Chlamydomonas reinhardtii: one gene and its partner. The protein of the gene in region 1 interacts with the protein of each later gene in a pairwise test. Links are inferred from orthologs where the notes say so. Each region holds a gene or a part of one and is shown on either strand. Other genes may lie near its edges.

The links.
Region 2: the proteins of CHLRE_06g297750v5 (region 1) and CHLRE_14g623800v5 interact in binary tests that used the Arabidopsis thaliana proteins (3 or more experiments, as listed by UniProt). The link is inferred for Chlamydomonas reinhardtii from reciprocal best matches to the Arabidopsis thaliana genes ATO and ATMAK3.

Annotation. Positions count from the first base shown.
Region 1 is NC_057009.1:7,165,133-7,177,719, reverse strand, and holds CHLRE_06g297750v5 (uncharacterized protein), read left to right. Parts: upstream 1-5,974; 5' UTR 5,975-6,213; coding exon 6,214-6,244; intron 6,245-6,321; coding exon 6,322-6,464; intron 6,465-6,659; coding exon 6,660-6,806; intron 6,807-7,009; coding exon 7,010-7,344; intron 7,345-7,541; coding exon 7,542-7,629; intron 7,630-7,892; coding exon 7,893-8,231; intron 8,232-8,487; coding exon 8,488-8,601; intron 8,602-8,759; coding exon 8,760-9,083; intron 9,084-9,461; coding exon 9,462-9,572; 3' UTR 9,573-9,841; downstream 9,842-12,587. Other genes in the region: CHLRE_06g297800v5 (uncharacterized protein), read left to right, coding at 1-1,680, 1,900-2,094, 2,254-2,375, 2,490-2,745, 2,896-4,402, 4,600-4,898; CHLRE_06g297700v5 (uncharacterized protein), read left to right, coding at 11,229-11,262, 11,325-11,536, 11,610-11,682, 11,854-11,882, 12,092-12,286, 12,456-12,587. UniProt on the Arabidopsis thaliana protein: Splicing factor homolog to SF3a60 that may be involved in pre-spliceosome formation. Is necessary for gametic cell fate determination.
Region 2 is NC_057017.1:2,335,305-2,345,564, reverse strand, and holds CHLRE_14g623800v5 (uncharacterized protein), read right to left. Parts: upstream 3,486-10,260; 5' UTR 3,380-3,485; coding exon 3,308-3,379; intron 3,113-3,307; coding exon 2,869-3,112; intron 2,635-2,868; coding exon 2,493-2,634; intron 2,009-2,492; coding exon 1,825-2,008; 3' UTR 1,122-1,824; downstream 1-1,121. Other genes in the region: CHLRE_14g623750v5 (uncharacterized protein), read left to right, coding at 3,996-4,041, 4,414-4,478, 4,618-5,394, 5,626-5,738, 5,897-6,043, 6,464-6,608, 6,902-6,946, 7,100-7,209 and 4 more; CHLRE_14g623700v5 (uncharacterized protein), read left to right, coding at 10,211-10,260. UniProt on the Arabidopsis thaliana protein: Probably required for N-acetylation of some chloroplast precursor proteins and efficient accumulation of thylakoid multiprotein complexes.

The DNA of each region.
Region 1 (12,587 bases):
AGCACCAGCGTCATAGCCTCAGGCGGTGCCGAGGCAGGGCTCAGCGACACGCGAGGCTCCGCCGGCGGCGGCATGGCGGCGACAGGCGCGAGCGTGCTGGGATCATCCAGCGCTGCGGCGTCAGCTCTTGCTTCTGCAGCGCTCTTCAACATTGTCATCGTTCCGGGCGGACCGCCTCCCCCAGAGGAAGATGACGAGGAAGAGGCTGGCAGCCGCAGCCGGGGGGGCAACAGCAACGACTCTGATGACGATGACCTGGGGTTGTTACCTCGCAGCCGTCGCCGGCGCTCATCCACCAGCAGCCGCCGGCGTTCGTCGGGTGTGTCGTCCGACGGCGGCGCCGTGGGCCTGCCGCAGCCCAAAGACGCGCTACCACCCATGTGGTTCTTCCCGTCCGGCGCGAGGCCGGTGACCGCGGAGACCGTGGCCGCCGCCATCGCTTGGGTGGGGTCGCTGGTGACCGACGCCAACAACCTGGTCCTGTGGGCGCAGCCCATGCCGCGCACGCACCTGCTGCTGTCGGGCCTGGCGGCCGCCTACCCGCGGGTGCCCGGCTACCGCCGCGCCGCGGTGCTGCTGTGCCAGCACCTGAAGCCGCACGAGCGCGCCGTGCGCCGCTACTCCTACGGCGGCAACGGCTCGAACTACACCACGCCGCGGCAGGGCAGGAGTGTGGCTGGCAGCCGTGCTGTCAGCCGCGCCGTCAGCCGCGCCGCCTCCAAGCGCGGCGGCATGCTGAGTCGCAGCACCTCCAAGAAGAACCTCAGCAGGGCACTCAGCCGCATGGGCACGCTGCGCGAGCGGGCGGTGGCGGCGGCCGCCGCCGCGGTGGTGGAGGAGGGCGAGGAGGGCGCCGGCGCCGACGGCGCGCTGGGCGAGCCGGGTGTTGAAGAGGGCGACCGGACGGCGTCTGCGCTGGAGGCGGCGGTGGCCGCGCTGGCGTCGCGAAGCGGCGGGCGCGCAGTGGTTACCTCCGTGTCGGGGGCGGATCCTGGGCTGGCCGGTGCCGGGGCCCCTGCAGCGCATGTGGCGTTTGGTGAGCCGCCGCCGCCGCTGGCACACTTGCGCCAGGCTGAAGATCGGGGTGAGGAGGCGGGTGACATGCCTGGCCCGGTGCGCTCTGAGTCGCCGGCGCCGCAGCCGTCACGGCAGCGGCCGCGGTCTTCCATCGCACGCAGCGGCCAGCCACGCTCCGGCCTGGTTACCGGCAGTGGCACTGACGGGGTGCGCTTTGGCCCGTTCGGTGACGGGTCGGCGCCGCCTATGCTGGAGCGCTCCCGCTCACGACCGCGCGCCGCGACCGACCTCGGCATCAGCGACAGCGATCCGGATAGCCGCGTCATGCGCGGCAGCGGCTTTCGCTCAGCCGACGGCGCGGCCGCCTATGCGGCCCTGCGCGAGGAGGACAAGGCGGAGGCCGCCCGCAACCCCGACCCGCCCCGCTTGGGCTTCCCGGTCTTTGTGGTGGTGCACGAGCTGGCGATGCCGCCTCTCAGCGGCCCCGCCGGCGGCGGCGGCGGAGGCCTGTACGGCGCGTCTGGTCCCAGCTACCTGATGGCGTACCACGTGTACCAGAAGCACCTGGAGGGTTTGCTATACGAGCAGGCGCGTGAGGACGTGCAGCAGCTGTCGCTCGGCTACTTCCGTGGCATGGCGGAGGCGGAGGGCGGCTTCCTGCAGGTAGGTGCGGGCGTACAGTGTACGGCAGGGTGCGGGTAGCTAGGGCATGGTGGTGCCGCATGGCGGTGTGGCTTCACTGCTTAGTTTTGGTGCTTCGTGCCGGCGGCTACACGCACGTCCCTCGCATGGGCTGTTTGCAGGGATAGGATGCAACCACCGGTCATGGGCATTGCTGACTGTTTGCCCGGTGTGTGTGTGTGTGTGTGTCCCGGATGCCAGGTGGCTGCCTCGCCGCTGGAGGTTGGGTCGGCGCTGGTGCTGGCAGCCTCCTGCGCCGTGAACGGCCGCTACCTGAGAGACCTGAAGCTCAGCACGCGCGGCGCCGTGCTGCGGGAGCAGTTCCCGCAGCGCCTGCCGCCGGCCATGCCGCTGGGCGAGCCGGTCACACTGCTGGTGCGGCTGACCAAGATGCAGGTGCGTGAGTGTATGTGCATATGTGTGTGTGTGTGCATATGTGGGCTGCAGCGCGTGTGCTAAGGGCAAACGTAGGCGCTGCTCAACAACGACAGTGCCTGTCGCCTTCGTTCACTGTATTTCTGACATGCGTGTGATGTGTGGATTCGCCACGTGCAGCCTGGAGCCGCGCTGGTGCTGGCGGGGCGCTGGCCCAATGGCTCACGGACGCAAGTGGAGGTGTCGGTGGACCCGCGGCTGCGGACGACCGGGCAGCTGCTGCCGCTGCTCTGCGCGCTGGGGTAGGTCAAGCCCCAGAAGAGTCAGTGCTCAAACTACACAGTCGCAAGCTGCAAGGGCGGAAACACGGCCCGACCACCTGGCCACTGCTAATCTTCTTTTGCCTATGCGTGCAGGGAGGTGTCTTCGCTGCTGAAGCAGCTCCCGCCGCCTCCACCGGCCGGCGGCTTCCGGCCCGGCAACGACGCAGCCAGCATGCGCCGCAGCGGCGGCCTGTCCCAACAGCAGCAGCAACAGCAGCTCACTCAGGAGCAGCAGGAGGCGCTGCTCAGGGCGCAGCTGGGCACGCCCAAGCAGCAGGCGGCGCGGAAGCGGGCCATCGAGAGGTGCCGGGCCTTCAATTTGGTGACCACGCTGACGCAGATGTCCATGGTGGGTACCCTCCCGCATTTCCGCAGGCATTCCCTCCATATCCACTCCAGAAGTTCTCAAGCACGCTATGGCGGAGTGTCATGCACGGTCATTAAGCGTGCCCGTTACCTGGTCACACATGGCTGCCTTGTGATCTTGTTGCGAACGCAGGTGACCATGACGCTGGCTCGCGGTCGTGGCCTGTCCATGCACACACACCAAAACAACGCCAACAGCCGACACGACCCCCGCGCCAACTTCTTCTGGCCTTCGCCCATCCTGTCAGTGCTGTCTGCGGCTGCACGCGAGGCGTATGCGGCAGGGCCCGGCGCACAGCTGCAGCAACAACAGCAGCAGCAACAGCAGCAGCAGCAGCACGGTGGGCCTAACGGCATGGCGGCCGGCGCCACCACGCCCTTCGTGGCGCCGCCCAACGCCGCAGCTGCTGCAGCCCACGCGCCGCTGTCGAAGGTGTCATCCCACCATCTGATCACATTCCAGGACCCGCCACCGCAGTTGTCGGCGTCACTGTCGCTGGCGGGGATTGAGCTGCCTGGCGGCATCAAAGGGCTTCCAACCGGGCACATGACGCTGACCGCCAAGGCACCAGGCGCGCCCTCACGCGCGTCGTCTTCCTCCCTGCAGCCGCCGCCGCCGCTGCCCCAGCACACCGGCTCCCAGCACGCCATCTCACCCGACCCCTCTGCGCCGGGAGCGCCAGATGACACAGGCTCCGAAGCCTCCTCAGCGCGCCCCTCCCTCGCCCAGGTCGCCGGCGACACCATGGCCGGGCCGCAACCAGGCGGCACCGCGCCTGTGCCGTTGCTGCAGCAGTCCTCGCTTGCCTCCCTCAAGTCCGAGGCCACAGCAGCTACCCTGACCTCGGATGCCTCGGACACAGAAAGCCGCGCCGGCGGCTCCGCCCGTGTCAGGACGCCCAGCCGCGCCGCGGCGCGGCGGCGGTCGCTGGTGCTGCTGGAGCAGACGACGCAGATGACGGCCCTGCGCATGTCGGCTCTGGGTATCCCGGCATATCTGCCGGATGGCGGCACACGTAGTCCTGACATGATTTCAGCAAGTGGCGGCGTAGGCGGAGGGCACGGTGCGCCCCGCCTGTCCAACTCAGGCACCCTGCACTTCGGCGGCACCGTCAGTCGACGCGGCAGCGCCATCAGCGGCATGGACGCGGCGGCGGCTCAGCACCAGCTCGCGGCGGCGCGGCTGTCCAATGTGTCTGCAACGTCATCTGCAGCGGAGTGGCGAGCGCCGCCCACGCAGGACGGTGCACAGTCAGATGAGGCTCAAGAGCCCCGCAGCGAGCCCCAGCAGCTGCTCAGCCCGCCTCTGCCCACGGCTAGGAACCTGGCGCCCGCGGGCGCGCTGCCGCCTCTGGCCCCAGCGCCTGCTGCCAGCAGCCGGCCGCAGCCGACCCCCAGCCCGCAGACTCTGCATCTGCAGGCGTCCTACGCCTCGCACCAGATGTCTTCAGAGCAGTCCAAGACGCCCACTGTGCCCATCGGGCCGCCCATGACGGCAACGGCCGCCGCCGCTGCCCACCAGCTGACAGTGCTGGGCCAGCTGGCGGCGCTGCAGCGGGCTGACGGCAGCTGGCCGCCGGACGCGGTGTTGGAGGAGCTGGTGGTCAGCAACGGCCGCAACCTGGATGTGCCCGTCATGGGTGAGTGGAGTGGCGGGACGGGATGACTTGCAGGTTTTGCAAGGGGGGATGGTACTGGCAAGGCCACGGCCCTGGCTGCAGCTTTGGTTGGGCTGGTTAGCTGTATGGCATCGTGCAGGCCTGCATGAACACCGCCGCTGTAACATCACACATGCGTTGGAGCAACGCGTGCATGTTTGCTGTTCCCATCTATGCAGGTGGGCCCAAGCCCCAAACCGGGGCGCAGCGGCATGAGGCCATTGCACGTGAGGCGCGGGCTAGGGAGGAGCTTGAGGGCTTACGCGAGCACGCTCTACGCGGCGCGGTGCGCGGTGCGCTCTGGTCCACGCTGCTGGCGCTGGCCCTGCTGCGCACACGCTACGCAGCTGCCCGGCTAGCCTGGATCCCATTGGAGGCTCGGGCGTTTGCATGGCTTGAGGGCGTGTGGCCGCCGCCAACCATATGCCCGCTGTCGCCTGCTTCGGCAATCCTGCGCATCTCCGCGCTGCTGGTTTAGGCAGCAGCATGTGTACGGTACGTGTGTGTGAGTATGAATGTGTATGTGTGTGTGTGTGTGTGTGTGTGTGTGTGTGTGTGTGTGTGTGTGTGTGTGTGTGTGTGTGTGTGTGTGTGTGTGCTTCGTGTGTAGTCGGCCTAATGCACGCGGCGGTCGGGAGCGCAGGTGTGTACTTGGGCGCGCACGTATTACCGGAACTGAATAACCTGGAGTAACTGTGTGAGCGTCGGCAGACTTGGGTCGCACTCGACACTGACAGCACTTGGAATAAGCTGCATGGCGATACGGCGAATGTAGGGCCATAAGAGGATTGGGAAGGTGGTGTTGGGTGATTGACGTACAAGGTGGGGTGTCGGCATGCTTTGGAACTGCAGCCTGGACTGACAGCATGACCTACATGCCAGCATTGTTAATAATACTGCCGGCGGCAGTATGTCGAACCAGTCACCGGTCAGGGTGGGAAAGGTTGGATGCCATGTTTTGTTGCGGCATCCAGGATTCCCGTCTTGCTTGTGACACGGAGACTTGTGGTTGTAACATTGCCGCGCTGACTTGCTCCACAACTGTAAGCCATGTTTATATGCCATGCAAATCAAGGGCTGTGGCGCCTGCAGCCCTATCCGTCAACTCGTCAAGGCTGTAGCCTTCAGGGGCGTAGGGACGCCGCACGTCGAGCACGTTACTCGCACGTCCCGTGGCGGTGGCAGGTGCGCTGCGTCATACCGGTACTCTCGGGATTTGTGAGTTTGTGCTGCGTCGCATCTCATTTATTTCTAGTGCATGTGCCCTGCAGAAATCAGGAACGCGCCCCTGTCCGGGCCAGGCACGCTCCCGGGCTTGGTCCACGGTGCTGACTGCCCGTCAGTGCTATCCAGGCTATCCTGTGCTATCGACGACGCCTGCCCGTACCTCCGTGCCATACCTGCAGTGCATAGTTGCACGAGCACGGAGCCCTGCCCACCACATATGTGGCGATGCAGGTATGCGAGGATGCAGCAAGACTGTGTGCGGGCCGGGGGGACCAGATCGTCAAGGCCGTGCATGGATTGTGGCAGCCGGCGCGCCCCCATAATTGTTATCACGACGCATACGCTAAGACATACCGACTGTACATTATATGACTCGGTAACGGCTTGTGGCCAGGTGACTGTCACATAAATTGCGCGTAGACCCGGTTAGAGGTCGCCAGCTGCTCTGCAAGTCTCGTCGACTGCTTTTATCTCATCGCTAGCTTTGCGGCGGGGGCCCCAGGGCCCTGCGCTTGCGTCGCCGCCCACATTTGGTGTAGTCTTCGGGAGCGGACCGAGCAGCAGCAATGGCGGAAACACTGCTGGAGCAGACCCGTGGTATGCATAGATTTCATGCCAGCGAAGGTGTCTCGCCGCGCGCGATGTATGCATCACCACCTTTCCGCGCTGCGCAGGTCTCCACGAGGACATGGAGCACTTTGAGCGGGTCATATGCAAGGACCTTAAGCAGGAGACGAAATCTCATAAAGATAAGCTCTTCCAGTCGCATCGTGTGCGGAAGCGGCTTGACCAGATCCAGGAGTCAGCTCGCAAGCTGGTGAGATACTGCTGAAACACAGGGTGCTTACAGCAAGAGGAGGCAAGAGGGATCCTGCGGAGTGCCGGGGGCTCGCAGAGTGGGGCCAGTTCGGCGGGGGTGTCCGGGTGAGTGTGCCTGGGAGTACCCACCGCCACAGCCGCGGGCGACAAGGGCTGTGGCAAACCAGGGCCGCGCAAACCTGTGGATGTGCAGATTAAGATCTACGAGGATGAGGACAAGGCTCGGAAGGAGGAGATTGAGGCGCTGGGCGGTGAGGACAAGGTGTTCAGCAAGTTCTATGACCGCCTGAAGGAAATCCGCGAGTACCACCGCAAGTTCCCCAACCACGAGCTCACTGAGGTGCGCAACAGGGGCGGGGCCACAGGCTAAGACAAGCTATACCCCTCGCTAAGTTTCCCGCCTCCGCGCCGTCCCTCCACACACCGTGCCCTCCTCTGCCCACAAGCCCGCCTTCGACCTCACCCCTCGCCCTCACGCCGCCCACCCCACTCCAACCCCGCACGATCTCCTCTACCTTCCCCAACCCCACTCCCCAACCCCAGGCCGAGGACGACACACCACTGCTGAAGGAGGAGCCGCACGTGGAGTTCACGGGCGAGGAGGGCCTGGGCCGATACCTGGACCTGCACGACCTCTACCAGCGCTTCTGCAACCTGCGCCAGCAGCAGCAAGCCGGAAAGGGCGGGAAGAAGGGCAAGGGTGGGGCGGGGGCGGACGACGACGGCGCCATCACGCGGGTGGACGGCGACGGGGCGGAGGTGGCGGAGGGGGGCGCGGGCGGGGCTCCGGAGAAGTCGCTCGAGTACTACGAGTACCTCACCAGCTTCTCGGACTTCAGCAGCCTGCCGCGGGCGCAGCGGATGAGCAAGGGCTTCAGGTGGGTAGGGGCCGGAGGTGGGGGCGGGAGGGGGGGCTTGTACGGGGGCTACTGTGGTGTGCGTCCCAGGGGAGGGGCCTGCGGCCGACAACCTGCAAGACAAAGCGGGCCAGGATAAGTCTGCAGATGTACCTCCGCCATCCCCGTTATTACACAGTTACCTACGGTACGCGCTCTTCCCTCTCGCTCCCCTGCAGCGAGTACCTGGAGGCGCTGCTGGCCTACCTCACCGGCTTCTACGAGCGGACGCAGCCGCTGGCGCAGCTGGGGCGCACCCTGACAAAGGTGGGAGTCCGCCGGCAGGAGGGGAGTTGGCGTGGGCGGGGTATGCGGGCCCGGTCGGGCAAAGCAGCACCGTGGCTGCTTTGGGTCGGGTGGGTTAGGAGTGGGATGGGCGGGTGAATTTATACCTGACTAAGGGGGCTGAGCGGTCAGATGTGCTTGTGTGTGGATGCGGCAGGCATTGTGGTCGGTTCACGCTTCAGCGCGGCCCATGCACAAGTGCTCGGTACCACCGCCTCGGCGCACGCTCACCGCATCCCTCGCAGGTGGAGGAGGAGTTCGCGCCGCGCTGGGAGGCGGGCCAGGTGGCGGGCTGGGAGGACCGCGGCGTGCCGGCGGCGCCGTCCGCCAGCGGCCTGGAGCTGGAGGCGTTCAGCAGCGCTGAGGAGCTGGAGATCCTGGGGGCGGACCGGCTGAAGGAGGCGCTGACGCAGCTGGGGCTCAAGTGCGGAGGCACCACCAAGGACCGCGCGGCGCGGCTGTGGCTGACGCGCGACACGCCGCTGGAGAAGCTGGACCGCAAGCACTTCGCCAAGGGCGTGGTGCCGCCCTGCGTGGCGGCCGACCCCGCCGCCGCCGCCAAAGCCACGGCGCAGGCGCGCGCGGTAGGTGCCGGGCAGTTGCTGGGATGCTGCTGCTGATGGGTGGGGTGGGGGCAGACGGAAAGGGGGTGAAGGTGGTATGGGTTGGGCGCGAGTCCGCCTCCAGTCTCTTTAACCACTGCCTCGGGTGCTAAGTGCAAGCGCGGGCCGGGTTTCTGGGGCAGCCGATCCCCACTCTCGTGTACTCTTGTACGCCGCATGATGGTGATGCCGTGTCGCCGCCCACCGTCCTCACACGCCTCTTCGTGCCCCCTCCCAGGTTGCGCTGCTGGAGGTGAAGGTCCGCAAGATGGCGGAGCTGTTGGTGAACGTGATTGCTGACACCAAGGGCAAGGTGGAGAAGAAGCAGGCGCAGACGTACGAGGAGATGCAGGTGAGGTCCGCCGGCCCAGCTCGGAAGAGCTTTCGGCACCTGCTTACGCTGCCGACCCAGCGCTGTCCTTAATGCTGCATGCCCCTCACCCGCCGGCCCCCTCGCCTGCCGCAACCCCAACGGTCCGCTCCCTCCGGTCGCTTCCTCCCTGCGCACAGGCCGAGCTTGCGGAGGCGGAGGCGGAGGTGGCGGCGCCGGACGACGAGGAGGAGGACGACTTCGTCTACAACCCGCTCAAGCTGCCGCTGGGCTGGGACGGCAAACCCATCCCCTACTGGCTGTACAAGCTGCATGGCCTCAACCAGGAGTTCAAGTGCGAGATTTGCGGCAACCAGTCCTACTGGGGCCGCAGGGCGTACGAGAAGCACTTCAAGGAGTACAAGCACCAGCAGGGCATGCGCTCGCTGGGCATCCCCAACAACAAGATGTTCTACGAGGTGACCAAGATTGAGGACGCGCTGCAGCTGTGGAAGAGCATCCAGGTGCGGCGGATAGGGCGCGCAGGGAGAGGGGTTGAGGGAAGGGGGGGCGGTACCGGCTTGTGTGCGCGTATGGGCGCCCTCGGTGACCTCAACAGGTGGCCTCCCTCTACACAGAATTATAGGTTGACACCCTCGCGTATGGACACCTCTCCACGCATCCCCATTCTAAGTAGACATGCGTATAATCCCCACGCAACCCTCCCCCTTCCCCTTTAACCTGATTTTGTTTAGTTTGAGTTTCTGTATTTACACCCCTCCTACCCCCCCCCATAAGTATTATCGCTCGCAACTAACGCCTCTGCCTGCACTCCCGTTTTCGTTGGTTTTGGTTTAGTTTGGGCTGGTATTTATAACCCCCCCCCCCCCCCGCTCGTGCAGGACAAGGCCAAGGGCGACTTCAAGCCGGACGACGAGGAGTTTGAGGACGCCTCCGGCAATGTGTACAGCAAGAAGACGTACGAGGACCTGCGCCGCCAGGGACTCATCTGAGCAGCAGGCGCAGCGAGGGCAGGCAGGTGGAGTGCACGGGACGGGATGGCGTGAGCGTTGGTGCAGGAAGAGGGGTCGAGGAGGAGCAGGCAGAGCAGGAGAAGAGAGCGAATGTGGCATGCGGTACATGTTCATGGCCGTGTTCTTGGTCTCGAGTTCTGTCAGGTGGCGGGTACTGAGAGCGCTTTGGTCGCTTGGCGCTGTCCGGTGGTGTGCGTTGGGACTGTGTTGACAGGCTTGGTGTGGGCCGCTTTGTATACTGTCGTGCACGGTGTGTCTGCGTGGTGCTATCGCCTATCGCCTGGCCGGGCATGAAGAATGCGCGTCAGCAAACTTCCAGCCAGCTAGCAACTTGTCGGTACAGTATCTCCGGCGTTCGACCAGCCGCGCGCTCCTGCACTGCATTCCGTCGACCATGGCCAGCCGGAATGCGGATGGGGTACACCGCTTGGCCATGGCGGGCGCACAGGTGCGCCTGGCTAATACAGACAGACGTCAAAGTTTCATTTCAGCACAGCTTATCCGACGCGTACGCCGGTGTACAAGAAAAACAAACTATTTAACAGGAGCGTGGTGAAGGTGCGATGGGATGTGTTGTTTCGACTTCAGCAAATGGCAACGAAAGGCATGGATTGCAACCGCATCGAGCCCCTGCTTGGAAGCCCATGGAGTTCTGGTCCGTTGAGGTGAGTCCAGTGTTCCCTAGTCATGGAGGTGTAACTAGAATACCAAGGTGTTCTGCAGGAGGTAAATTACTGGCTTTCTACGCTGCCAAGTATTGACAACGTGCACTATGCGACTTTACTTGCGCCCTTGGATGAGGGCTGCGTGCTTGCAAACGTCTGGAGCGTGGAGGTAAGTTTATTACTTGTCTAAATGGAACGTATGAGTTTCAAAATTGAGTTGGCATAGGTCTGCGACTTGACGCTCACCTGACGCCCCCCCTCGCACGCACAGCACCTTGTGGCGCGGGGGGTCCACAGGGTTCACGCCGTGCGCCTGATCGCGTACCGAGATCAGGCGCGCTTGCGTACACCTGCAGGAAAGCCCTTGGAGGACTGGGATACAAAAGTGAGACCACGCAAACGTAACCCGGTTGTGCAGGGGCCGCGCCCTGCTGCCCCGGGCTTCACGAGTGCAATGTGCTGCTGTTGTTGACAGGATGTCTCCAACTGGTTTGACACGCTGCCGGCGGACTTGGCGCTACACGCACCAGTGCTGGCCCATGACGAGGGTTGTGTCCTCGCTGGCGTCTGGAGCTTGGAGGTATGAGCTTTGGTCCTAGGCGTACGGCAGCTGTGTGTGGGGGGAGGGGGGGAGAGGGGTCGCCAGCCAGGGTGGGTGTGAAGACGAGCCTAAGCTAAAGCAAGCGGAGTTTGCTGGCTGCACTCTTCGGAGCGTTGTTTCCCTTGCACCATGACGGCGTTTACGCTGCCGCCTTGTAACCCGCATTCGCCTAGCATACCGTACTAAAGCATGTACTGGGGTTTTAACTTAACTGGCAAACTTGGGCCCTCTTTGAATCTGCCCGCCCCCCACAGTACCTCGTGCGGAGAGGGCTTCCGCCGGACGACGCTGCTCGCCTCGTTGCCTACCGAGACAAAGTGGCAAGGCTGACGTCGCGGATTTTGGTGCCGAGCTATGTGACTTTCGCCGATGAACGCGGTACTGGCGGGGCCAGCACCTCAAGGCTATCCAATGCCGCTGTAGGCGCTGCGGCCTCTGTGACCGCCGTGCCCAACTCACTTGCAGCAGCAACGGCAGCAGCAGCGATACCAGCAGCAGTAGCCCCTTCGTCCGCAGCCGTTACGCTCGCAGCAGAGTGCCTCATAGCAGATGGGGACGATGAGGTGCCCCTCAAACAAAGCACGCAGCAGGCGGAAAGCACGCAGGCGGACGAAGTGCAGTTAGATGTGCATCTGGAGGCCGCCGCAAATGAACCGGGCAAGGGGAAGAAGCTGAAGGTGGGTGAGCCTCCAGCCGAGATGCCTTCCTGTAGACGCCCGGCTCTTCTGACCAACGGCCACCCAACCGCAGGCTCTTGCCAAGCAGGGCGTTGCAGTTGCACGAGTAGTTCTTGAGCGAGTGGGGCCAGCACTTCCGTTTGGAGGTATGTATGAAAGCGCGCAGGATTGCATGGCCCCACTTGTCCTGTTGGACACGTACGGCTCTGCAACATATGCCTTGCTCCATCGTGTCCCTTCTTTCTTTGACCTAACTTCCCACCCACACCCGGCTCACCCTCTGTCGTCCTCCTACGCTGTCCTACGCCACTCATCAGGCGCCGAGGCAGCCAACCTGATTCTTCAGGTATTCAGGCAGCGGATGATGAGTGGAGTCCTCGCCCATCGCGTCCTGGAATTATATAAGCAACCTTCCCATCCCTGCACCTGGAATTTTATTAAGCAACCTTGCTTCGTAGCCAGCAGAGGGATTGCACTGCGCTTGCTCCTGCTGCTGCTGCATGCCCTGCTGCCGTGGCCATGCCCTGCTGTTTGCCTGCTCGCCCGCCCGCCCAGGTGCTTGACGCAGTGGAGGCCGCGGTGGCCAACGCCGCCAACCTACGCCAGCTGGCGGAGCGGGCGCTGACGGTGATGGATGTGCTGCAGGCGTATGCGGAGCAGCTGCGCGGGCTGCAGCGCCGCCGCCGCCAGGACGGCGACCGGGGGGACGGCTGCCGCAAGATTGTCAGCCGCTTCCAGGACCATTTGCGGGTAGGTAGGCAACGCGGCAGGGCGGTGGGCGGTATCAAACCATGCGCACACAATCAATCTAACAGCTTTAACAGCCTTGAGATTCTGGAAACGTGTGAACCCTCAACCCCAACAGCATGTCTGGCATGAGCCCGCACGCGCCCGGCCCATCACATACACACGCACCCAGGGCATCCTGGGCTATGCCCGAGAGTACGCCAGCCGTAACTGCCTGGTCCGGCTGTTTACCTCGGCGGGAGACGCGGAGCGGTTCCAGGAGTATGTGGAGGAGCTGAGGCGGCTGGGCGAGGATCTGCGACTG
Region 2 (10,260 bases), on another chromosome or scaffold:
ACGGTACTTGCATGCCTCTCTTTCCTTTTGGTCTTGAGTAGAGACTCTACTAATGGACCTCATCCTGGCGCTGTGCATTTAGATTGTGTTTGTTACAAGAGTAATCTGCTGACATGGAATGTCAGTTACGTGGATTGCGATCACCCTTACATACAGTGTTGTTCTGTTGCAGGACGGGCGGCGACACATGTTTGCGCGTGAAAGGTAGTCGTGGTGACTTCCCGCCTTCCCTCGAACTGGGTTGAGAGATGATCAGCGAAGGCGTTGCCCCGTTAATACATGCTAGGCCCTATGGGCCAGCGTTGGGATTATTATTATTATTTGCGCGTGAAGATAGCTGTGGGTGCGACTGGCATTTGTCAAGGGGATGCTTCCCTCCAGCAGGCTTCCCTCCAGCGAAGCCTGCGGGGGCTGCTTGTAAGCAGCCGCAGCAGGCTAGCAGGCCCATTGGACAGGGCGCGGCGGGACATGGATCAGGAGGGACCCACGACCGGGATTGATGGCGGGCGGACTCACTCCACCTTCCCCCCCCATATACACGTTCACGCCATGGGTGGATGCCGCGCCGCGCTCGACAGTTTTATTCAAGTTTCGCAGTTTTGTGTTTCGTCATGTGTGATTATATATGCGACGTTACGAATATATAGGTATGGACCGTCATGTATGATATGCCGTAATGAAGATGGATGTTGTACGAATACGCAAGCTGGCGGTGTGGTTCCCTGCGCAGTTGTCATGTGCTCAGTTGGGTTCCTTGCGTCTTACTAACTTTCAGTGAAAGTGGTAAGGCTGTGAAGGGCACACACGGTTGACAAATGTGCGGGTCTTTTGTGGGGTTTCATGTGCTGGCGTTCGCCGAATGCCGTTAGCGCTGCTGGTGACTGGACCAGCAGGGTGCACCCCCGCTGTTTTACAATGGGCCGCGAGATAGAGCTCATGGCGGGGCCGCCCCTAGGCTCTGGCTGGTAAGGCTACTGAATCGTCGGGCGTGGGATCCGGGGAAGAGGATGGACGAGGCGGAAGTTGCGTTTCGTACTAGTTGGACTGTGGATACAAGGCTGGAGGTGGTGGTACATTTGCAGCCAGATGCCCGAAGCGTCACCTCGCTCGGATGCCCCCGATAGCCTGGAGATTTACAGTCCGCTGGCGAAGGTCGGCCGTACCCAGATTGCTGTACATAGCACAACGCCGCACACGTGCGTGAATGCATTGACGACTTGTTTAGCACTTTAGCTTGGCGTACGATATGGTGGGATTGCGACGTCAGGTCCGGGCGTCCGGCCATGTGCATGAGTTGCTTTACTTGCTGTGTAGAGGGTACCCGCGCCTGTCAACATACGAGCATTCGTTCCCACCACACTCGTCATTAACGAGCGTATCCATGCCCAGCAAGGACACACGAGCACAACCGACACGTGTAACCCCGGTGTAACAGTTGTGACTGTAGTCAGGGGGGCAGTGGAGACTGCCGTGTACACTAGCACAATGATCACCTGCTTTGCCTTTATTATGGATTTCTCAGTGATCCACTGCCAGGCCAGGCCACGACAGCCCCGCGCCCCCGCCCACCACCTCCGAATGCTCACTGCCTTCAATCTCCACCCCCGCCTGTCCGCGTATGCTCACCCGCAACCGCGCCCCGGGCCCACCTCCACGCCCTATACACCATGTTAACGAAGATACCGGGCGTTGCTTTCATCCCCTGCCGCGACTGACCGCTCCCGGACAGCACCACGCCGCCACACGCGCCCGCCGCCCACGCCACCTCTGCCTCTGCCTGGAAACCGCACAAACACCCCATCACCGCATGCCTCCACAACCCCCTCACGCAATGGCAGGCTCCGCCGCCGCCGCGACTGCCCCTGCGTCCACCGCCGCCGCCTCCAGCTCCACCCCCTCCAGCTCCGCCGCCTCCGCCGCCGCGGCCGCCGCCAGCGCCGCCTTCTTCTCTTCGGTCAGCGGCAGCAGCAGCTTGAGGCGGTAGGCGTCCACACCGTTCAGGTAGTACCTGTGCAAGGCAGGGGCGGCGGCGGGAAGCAGGGCGGGGAGGCGCTGTGTGTGCTTAGCCGGATGAAAGCGCGCCAGTCACTGAGCTGGAGCTTAGTTCGCAGCTAGTAATACGGTACTCGCAGCTGGAGGTGGGGTGTGCCATGTTGGTGCGTGTTGCGCAGCTGACCCAGGCGCAGCTGGGTTTCGGGAAGTCAAGTGCCAGCAGTAGCGTCGCCCTGAAGGCTGACGCCACGCCGCCGGCCGCAGCACGCGCACTGTGTCCAGTCGGGTCCACGGAAGGGGCGTCCAAACCATGCGACAGCTGCAGCGCACTTTTTCCGTACAGCCCATGTACCGCAGCCCACATCCACCAGCAGCACACAACTGCATGCTCAGCCTATCACTAGTCCCTTCCCTCCCTTTATCTCTCCAAGTGCCACCTCCTGAACAACCGCACCCCGCACCGCCCATCCATTTGTCTCCTCCTCTTCCCAGTCTCGCACCTGTGAAGGCGCTTTTCCCGCACGAAGCCCAGCCCCTGGTATAGCTTGAGGGCGCCGGTGTTTACGACCTCCGCCTCCAGCACCACCTCCTCGCAGCCGCCCGCAATCATCTCCCGAATCCCCATCTTCACCAGCTCAGAGCCTGCGGAGTTGAGCGTGCAGCGTGCGGCGCGGGGCGTTTGACGGGGTCAAGCTTGGGAGAGGGGTTCGTGAAATGCATTGCGTGCGGCAGGATCTTCGTGCGCCAGGCGTGACGTGCAAACACGGCCGCGTGCCGAACCCCCCAAGCCCCATCACCGCCAGTGCTTGCCCGATCCGCACCGCCTCCTACGCTCCCTCCCCTACACCCAACTAAGACACACACAGACTCACTCACCCACGCGCTTGCCACGGTACTCCTTGTCAACCACGAGCATTGCGACATAGCCGCGCAGCGCCCGGTCCCGGTGCATGTCCATTTTGCACACGACCGTGCCGAACGGCTTGTCACCGTCATATGCAATGTAACATAGGTGTGGCCATTGCTGCAGAAAGTAGCGATACGTGAAGATGCTGTAGGGCTCGCTGAGCTCCTTGTCGACCAGGCCCATTACGATGGGCAGGTCCTCCTCGCCTTTGTACTGCGTGTTCGGCATTTTGCATATATGGAGAACTGGATACTAAATCGAGGTAAACAGGCAGCTCCTAATCTAGCTTGCAGCATTTTGCACGCGGTCGTCGCCGCCCTGGTAGCCAAACTCCCACATAAAGAATTGGACATGATACAATCGGCTGAAAGATCAGCATGTGTTTGCGCTCCAGGTCGACCCACTCACTTGGACATATCGGATGGCATCGCTGGTCGTCGCCTCGGCGCCGCTCTGCGACCGGCCTGTCTCTTCTGCCATTTTAACTCCCCGGTGTGCTTATATGGACTGTGTGAGTGCACCTGCTGAAAAAAGGGTTGGGGTCCATGAATCGGTCCCGATGTGTTTCGTGCCTTGTTGCCCCGAATTCCAGGGATGTTAACAGGACGACCACTGCCCATTTGAACTGTCTGCCCACTGCAAGCTCTTCATAGAAACTCCGTTAGCTCTGACTGACCTTTGGACTCACCCCAGTCCCCAGGCTCTGCGGTCCCGGGCAACGCTTTCCCAGCGCAAATTGGCAAGTTGCGCTTTTGGCAGCAGACCCTGTCGCCTACGGCTGGTGAGCGAGCAAACGCGCGGCGCAGAACCGCGCAAAGGCGGCAATCGACGCGGCTCGGCGCGTCGTCTTTCTGGCTTAAGCTGAAACTGATTGAAAGAATGTATGTGTATCGGCGAATCTCCTTGGCGGCCTATGCCGACAGCGCGGTGAGTTGCTGCTGCTGCTGCCCTTTTGTCCCGTGGGTCCAGCTTTGGTGTGTGTTGGGGAGTGTGGCGTCCATAGGTGCCGAATTCAACTGTGCGCTTTGTATTGCCGCAGAGTGGCGGCTGGCAGCTGCTGCGCGACCGCGGTTGGCGCCGGCCCCGCATGGCCCGCATGCTGGCGGCGGCGCTACCGGTGCTCCTGGCGCTGTCCTCACTGGGTGGGTGGTGGGTGAGTGGGTGGTGCACTGATGTAGGTGGTGGGTGCCAGGTACTGGGTGCCGGGGCGTAGGTGCTGGGTGGCCGGTGGTGGGTGGTGGGTGGGGACTCGGAACTGTAGTAGGAGGGCAGGGAAGACGTGGGGGAAGGGCAAGTGGGCTCGGGCAAGGTGATGACAGGCACAGCGGGCGGGAGAAAGAAAGTGCGTCGTTGATGGTTTGGGACGGAGGCGGCCCTGAAAACTCCGGAATTCAGAGGAGCCGGGGAATGCAAAGTATCTGTGCCCTTTTGAGGTGGTGGGCCCCCCTGCCCCCGTGGCCCCTGACCCACGTGTGTGACCTAACCCCATGTGTGTGCCCCCTGCTGTCGTGCAGCGCCCTCGGACCTCTTCTTGGCGGGCGTGCCACATACACAGGGGCACCCCACCACCGCCCTGCCGGTACGTGACACCGCACATACACACCGCTGTTTCCCCCTCTTCCCTCTCTTCCTTCACCATGCTCAACCTGCCCACAGTGCCAGTACGGCACAGTCTCACAATGCGCCGTACTTTCATCGCGCAAACACACCGCGCGCAGGAGGAAGCCCGGCGGCACCTGGTGGCGGCCCCAGAGCTGCAGCCAGGAGGGGCGGAAGCAGGAGCTGGAGCTGGAGCGGAAGCCGGAGCGGGAGCCGGAGCCGGGCCCGGCAGCTGGGCGCCTAGCCTCACCATAGACGCCGCTGCCGCTGCCGCCGCCGCCGCCGCCGCTGCCGCCGCCGCCGCCGCTGCTGGGGCTCACAGGCAGCCTCAGCCGCCACCGGTTTCGGCGGAGGAGGCAGCGCCGTACACCTTTGGCGGCGGCGTGTTGCCGCAGACGGGCCAGCCGCCGCCACCGCAGCACCAGCACCAGCTGCAGCTGCAGCCGGATCAGGTGGCGGCGGAACAAGTGGGATGTCCCATCGGCGGCCCGGAGTGCCCTTTTGCAGAAGAGCACACGGCCGCTGGCATGGGCGGCGGCTTCCACGGCGCTGCTGTCATAAGTGGCGGTGCCGTGGAGGGCGTCCTGGGTGCTGCTCTGCTCGGGGCGCCACACCTGCAGGTCGACCTGGTGCAGCAGCAGCCCGCGTCGACACCCAGCATCGACGAGCGGGCTGGGATACAAGGGGTCTCCAAAACAGGAGTGCACCTGCCGCCGCCGCCTCCGCCGCCGCCGCCTCCGCCGCCGCTGCCACAGCCGCCGCCGCCGCCGCCACCCGTGGTGGGTCAGCAGCCGCCTGCAGCTGCCGCGGTTGGTGGTCTTGCCGGACCACGGCAGGCACCGGCAGCAGCTCTGGGCGGCTGGTCCATCTCTGGTCTGGTGGAGCCTGTAGTGCAGGTGGGGGCGGGATGGCGGGTGGTCTGGTGGTCTGGTGGTGCATGCAACTGACCGGGTGATAGTGATGATCAAAGGTGGCGTGGTTTGTGCACGGGAGGCTGGCGGCTTTGCCAGCAGCAGGACAGTCCGTTCACCTGTCGTCAAACAACACGAGGGAGCGTATAATTCCTAATCAGAAGAGGGCGAGTGCATGCCCTCACGCCCACACCACCACAAACCACGACTTCACAGGCGCTGCGTGTACAGTCGGCCGCCACGGCTGTAGACCTGGCGGCGGCGGCGCGGCTGCGGGCGGCGGCGGAGAGCGCGGCGGCGCGGTTGCGGAAGCACTTGGACGACGTCAGGTACGGTGTCGTACGTACGCCACCGCATGCCCCTGCGTGCCCAGGAAAGGCCCGACCCCTGCGTCCGCAGCAACAAACCTCCCACGCCTCCCTGTTTCGTTGGGCTCGGGCATTCAACCCCTCCCCTCCCTGTCCTCCCTTACCCGCCCGCCCCGCAGGCAGCAGCAGCGGCTGCTGGACGCCCGGCGCGACGCGGCGGCGGCCGCAGGTGACTACGGCGCTGCGGCGGCGCTGCGGCTACAGCTGGACGGACTGGAGGCGGAGGCGGAGAGCCTGGAGGCCGCGGCCAGGTCGTCAGCGGACAGGTGCGTGCGTGTGTCGTACGCGTGTGTGTTTATGTGTGTGTGTGTGTTTGTTTGTTTAAGGGCATAGGGAAAACATCTCGCAAAGAGAGAGAGAGAGAGTGTGTGTGTGTGTGTGTTTGTGTGTGGAAGTTAGGAAAGCACCACCTGGGCAAGGGGCGCGTGCCTGTTTAGGGAGCACACGGGAAAGGTTGCGTGCGTGCGTGTCTTTGGTGTTTTGTTGCTTCCGTGCGTTGAGATGATGTCATAGATGGTACCGGCACGGCCGCAGGCGCCGGGTAGCACCGTCAGTTGGTGATGGCATTAGATACTGACTGGAAATCAAGCACGGGAGTGGATGAAACACAGCGGTGATAGCACCTGCTGTCATGAATCTTATTGCCTTGACTGTCCGTACCTATGTAGTCTACGCATGTCTGGCAGGCTGGACAGCCTCACGGAGGCGGAAGGCGGCATGCGGGCGGCGCAGGCGGCGGCGCTGCTGGCAGCGGCGGCGGAGCTGCGCCGGCTGTCGTCCGCGGCGGCGGGCGCTCTGTCCCGGCTGCAGGCGGAAATGTCCGAGGTGCAGGTGTGTGTGTGTGTGTGTGTGTGTGTGTGTGTGTGTGTGTGTGTGTGTGTGTGTGTGTGTGTGTGTGTGTGTGTGTGTTATGGACGTGCGTTGTGGAACTGTGTGTGTGTGTGCGCATGTGTGTAGTGTGTGTGTGGGGTGGGTGGGGGGTGGGGGGTGGGGGGGTGGGTGGGGTGTGTGTGCGCTGGGCTGAAGGCGAGTTGCCTGCGAGTAAATACTGCTTTCCGCCCGTTGGCGCCCACGGTTGGCGCCTCGCCACGACATTATGCCCTGGCGTCCCCCGTGTGCCCCAGTCGCGTCTGGACACCACCACCAATGCCCGGCGGGCCCTGGGCCAGGTGCGGCGGGTTCGGATCCGTCACCACGGGTGCGGGGTGAACTCGGGTGAGATAATCATGTGGTTCACTGGCCACCTCACGACAGCCACTCGCCACGTTTCGCCGTATTCGCCGGACGCGCCAAACGTTTTGTCTACGACGCCACTCACGCAGGCGCTGTCTCGTCACTCGCAGCAGACGGACGTGCGGCGGGAGCTGAGGCGCCTGGCCCTGGACGCGGCGGCGGCGGAGTCGGCCGCGGCGGCGGCGCTGGCCGAGCACAGGTGCGGGAGTCCCCACCAAGCCTTCATGCTGCAATGATGTTTTGAGGTTTGACTGTCCAGCATGGCACCAACACGTCATGCCAAACGGCACGCGGCAAGCAGTGTCATAGCTGACTGCCATTATTGTGCAACCAACTGCCTGTGCCGTTGCCATTCCGCGCATTTATACGCTTCGTACACAGGGCCGCCAACCGCGCCGTACTGACTGACGCCGCTGGCCTGGTCCGTAACCTAACCGCCGCCGACAGCCTGGCGGCGGCGGCGGCCGCGGAGGCGGAGCTGCTGCGGGGCCAGCTGGCGGTGGCGCTGCAGCTGCAGGTGGGGCAGGGGGCCATGCTGTCATGGTGTGTGAGGGGTTTGTCGGTTTGTGGGGGGTGGGGCATGTTTGGGAATGTGGGGCATGTGTGGGGCGCGGGGTGAGCCAGCGCGTTCCAGAGATTGCGGATGACGGGGGTCGGTCGGTGTGAGTCAGAGCAAGGCGCCCTTTGTCCTTCCCACGGCCCCGTGGTGTTGCTGTGTCATCCCCGTGCAATGCAATTTTCGGTCCGTTGTTTCAGAGGTGCACCAAAGTCCTTGATCTTCAACTTCAACTTTTGTGATCTCCCAAACCTCCTACGCGTTCTGTGGGCTCGTCCCTGGGTCTTCTTTCTTTGGGATTGTAGTTAAGTACCCACCCGACACCGCCACAGGACTATGCCCACGCGTCTGCCCTGCGCTCCAGCCTGCAACGACTGGAGGAGGCGGTGGCCGGCGGCGGCGGAGCGGCGGCGGCGTTTGGGCGGCTGCTGGAGGCGCACCAGGCGGTGGTGGCGCAGTGAGTGGCGCGGCGGCGGCGGGTGGCGCGGCGGCGGCGCGGCGCGGCTGTGGGGGTTAGCACAACCACAGATGCAACCACCCATGCAATTGCAGACGCACACGTGAAGCGAGCAGATGCACTCGTACCTGTACGAGTACCGTAAATGCTCTTGCGTGGCGTCGCCTGGATATGTGATGCAGGCGTGCTCGTGTCAGTAGGCTCAGCAGTGTGTGTGCTGTAGGTGCTGTGGTGGAAGGCAGCTGCTGTGCTGTGCAGCGCGACACGTGGCGCCTCCCTGCCGCCCCTGGGATACAGGGCACTTCGCCGCCCCGCCCCGCCCCGCCCCGCCCCGCGCCCCCGTCTACCACTTCCTTAACTACCGTAATCATGAATGCACCCCCCGCCCCGCCCCATCTTGCAACCGTGCAGGCGGCTGGCGGACTTCGGGCACGGGCTGCGGCGGTTGCAGCGTGCGGGCGTGCTGGTGGGTCTGACCGACGACCTCCGGCGCATGTACGGGGCAGGACAGGTGGGTGGTCGGGTTGTAATTACCAGTCCAAACTAAACCGAACTTAATGGTGGATGGGTAGGTGGATGGGTGTCGTGGCATGCAAAGAGAGGATGCAGGGTGTTGGGTGGGGAACATGTCCTCCGCATGTTGGGTGGCAGGGCGGCAATTGAGGTGCGTGCGTGCGTGCTTGCATGCATGTGAGTGCCTGGGTCCATGACTTGGTTCAGTTGGTCATGCTCGTGTACCGTGTCGCGCATACGTGGGCTTCGGCTGCGCTTTGCACCTGACAAGCCCCCCCACCCCACACACACACCATACACACACGGGCCCTGTTGACGGGCAGGTGGACGCGAGGGAGGCACTGCAGTTGGCCAGTCAGTTGGCGGCGGCGGTGGCGGAGCTGAACAGCTCGGTGCCGCCGCCGGCTGTGGAGCGGGACCAGGCGGAGGAGATTGTGAAAGGGCTCGTGATGTGATGCGGTGTGTGTGCGTCGGGGTGCTGTGGTGTGATATGCTGTACAGTGATGTGAGAGGGGGCCTGGAATGCTGGCCTCATTCTGCACGCGATACGCTGAAGCCATTCGGATCCGACAACGTCCTTGAAGCTTACCTCCTGAAAAGGTTTCTGCCACACGTATCGTGCATGTCAGATGGAGGCAGAACGGGCGTTTTAGCTTTATAGAAGGCTTGTGTGCCATGACGCTGACGCCCGGGGCTAAGCGACGATGTGACATGGCAAGGGAAGCAAGGGGTTGAATCCGGAGAAACGAGTTACGCCCGGCCCAGGCACCGGTCATACATGGAATGATGGAAATGCGGCGCCCCGCGCCCGTGCCGCAGGGCGATGGGCGTGTGTGGAGCGGCGTGTGCTCCTCCAGTGTGCTGACCCCGTGGATTTCATCGGTTGCTGTTTGAAGGCAAGCTTAAAATGCACCTTACAAAGGTGAAACCCCTCATGGCAGGGCGGTGTACGGAACTCACTGAGCAACTTCAAGGGAGGTTGGAACCACTCGTTGAAGGAAGGACAATCGACTTTACACCACTCAACTTGTTGCCAGTTGACATTTGGGGTCCGTGGAGTGGCTGAGAGGACGTAGGAGGCTGGTGTGCGGTGTGAGTTACTGCCAGGCACTGCGCATGACCTTTGAGGCTTTGACCCTTTGACGACGTGCAACGTTGGTTGTTACCGAGTTGACATTGGCGACCCCACCACGATTGCATACCGGTACCGTGACTGGAAACTCACGGCAACTTTCAAAGTGCGAGCTTAAATCAAAAAGTGCCATTGCAGGGGCTTCCAAAAACGCGGGCATTTGATGAAGACCAGCTCATGAAGGTGTCGGGGGTGGCTTGCCCAGCCTGGGCTCCGTGTTCACCAACGCCAGGCACTAACCCGAGTGACCGGACTTGCCCACCTGCAGCTCAAATACAAGCATTAGGTTTTTCAATCTATGCATGTCAGCACATTAGAGGCGCGTTCTCGCAACCTACTGCGAGAGGTACGACTCGGCGGAGATCCGAGCAACTCTCGCCTGCGCAGACGCATTCCAAACGTTTTAGTGTTTGCATTGATAGGAATAGCTTACGAAAGACTAGATAACTGCACAATCGTGGCACTGGAGACGGCCTGGAGATGGGGCTTGCAGTCGCTTGAAGCTGGCCTGCACGAGCCAGCAAACCTTCAGTGCTAGCAGCATGGCAAGCTGCTCATTTCTAGACTCAGCGAGTCTTCTTGCGCAGCGGGC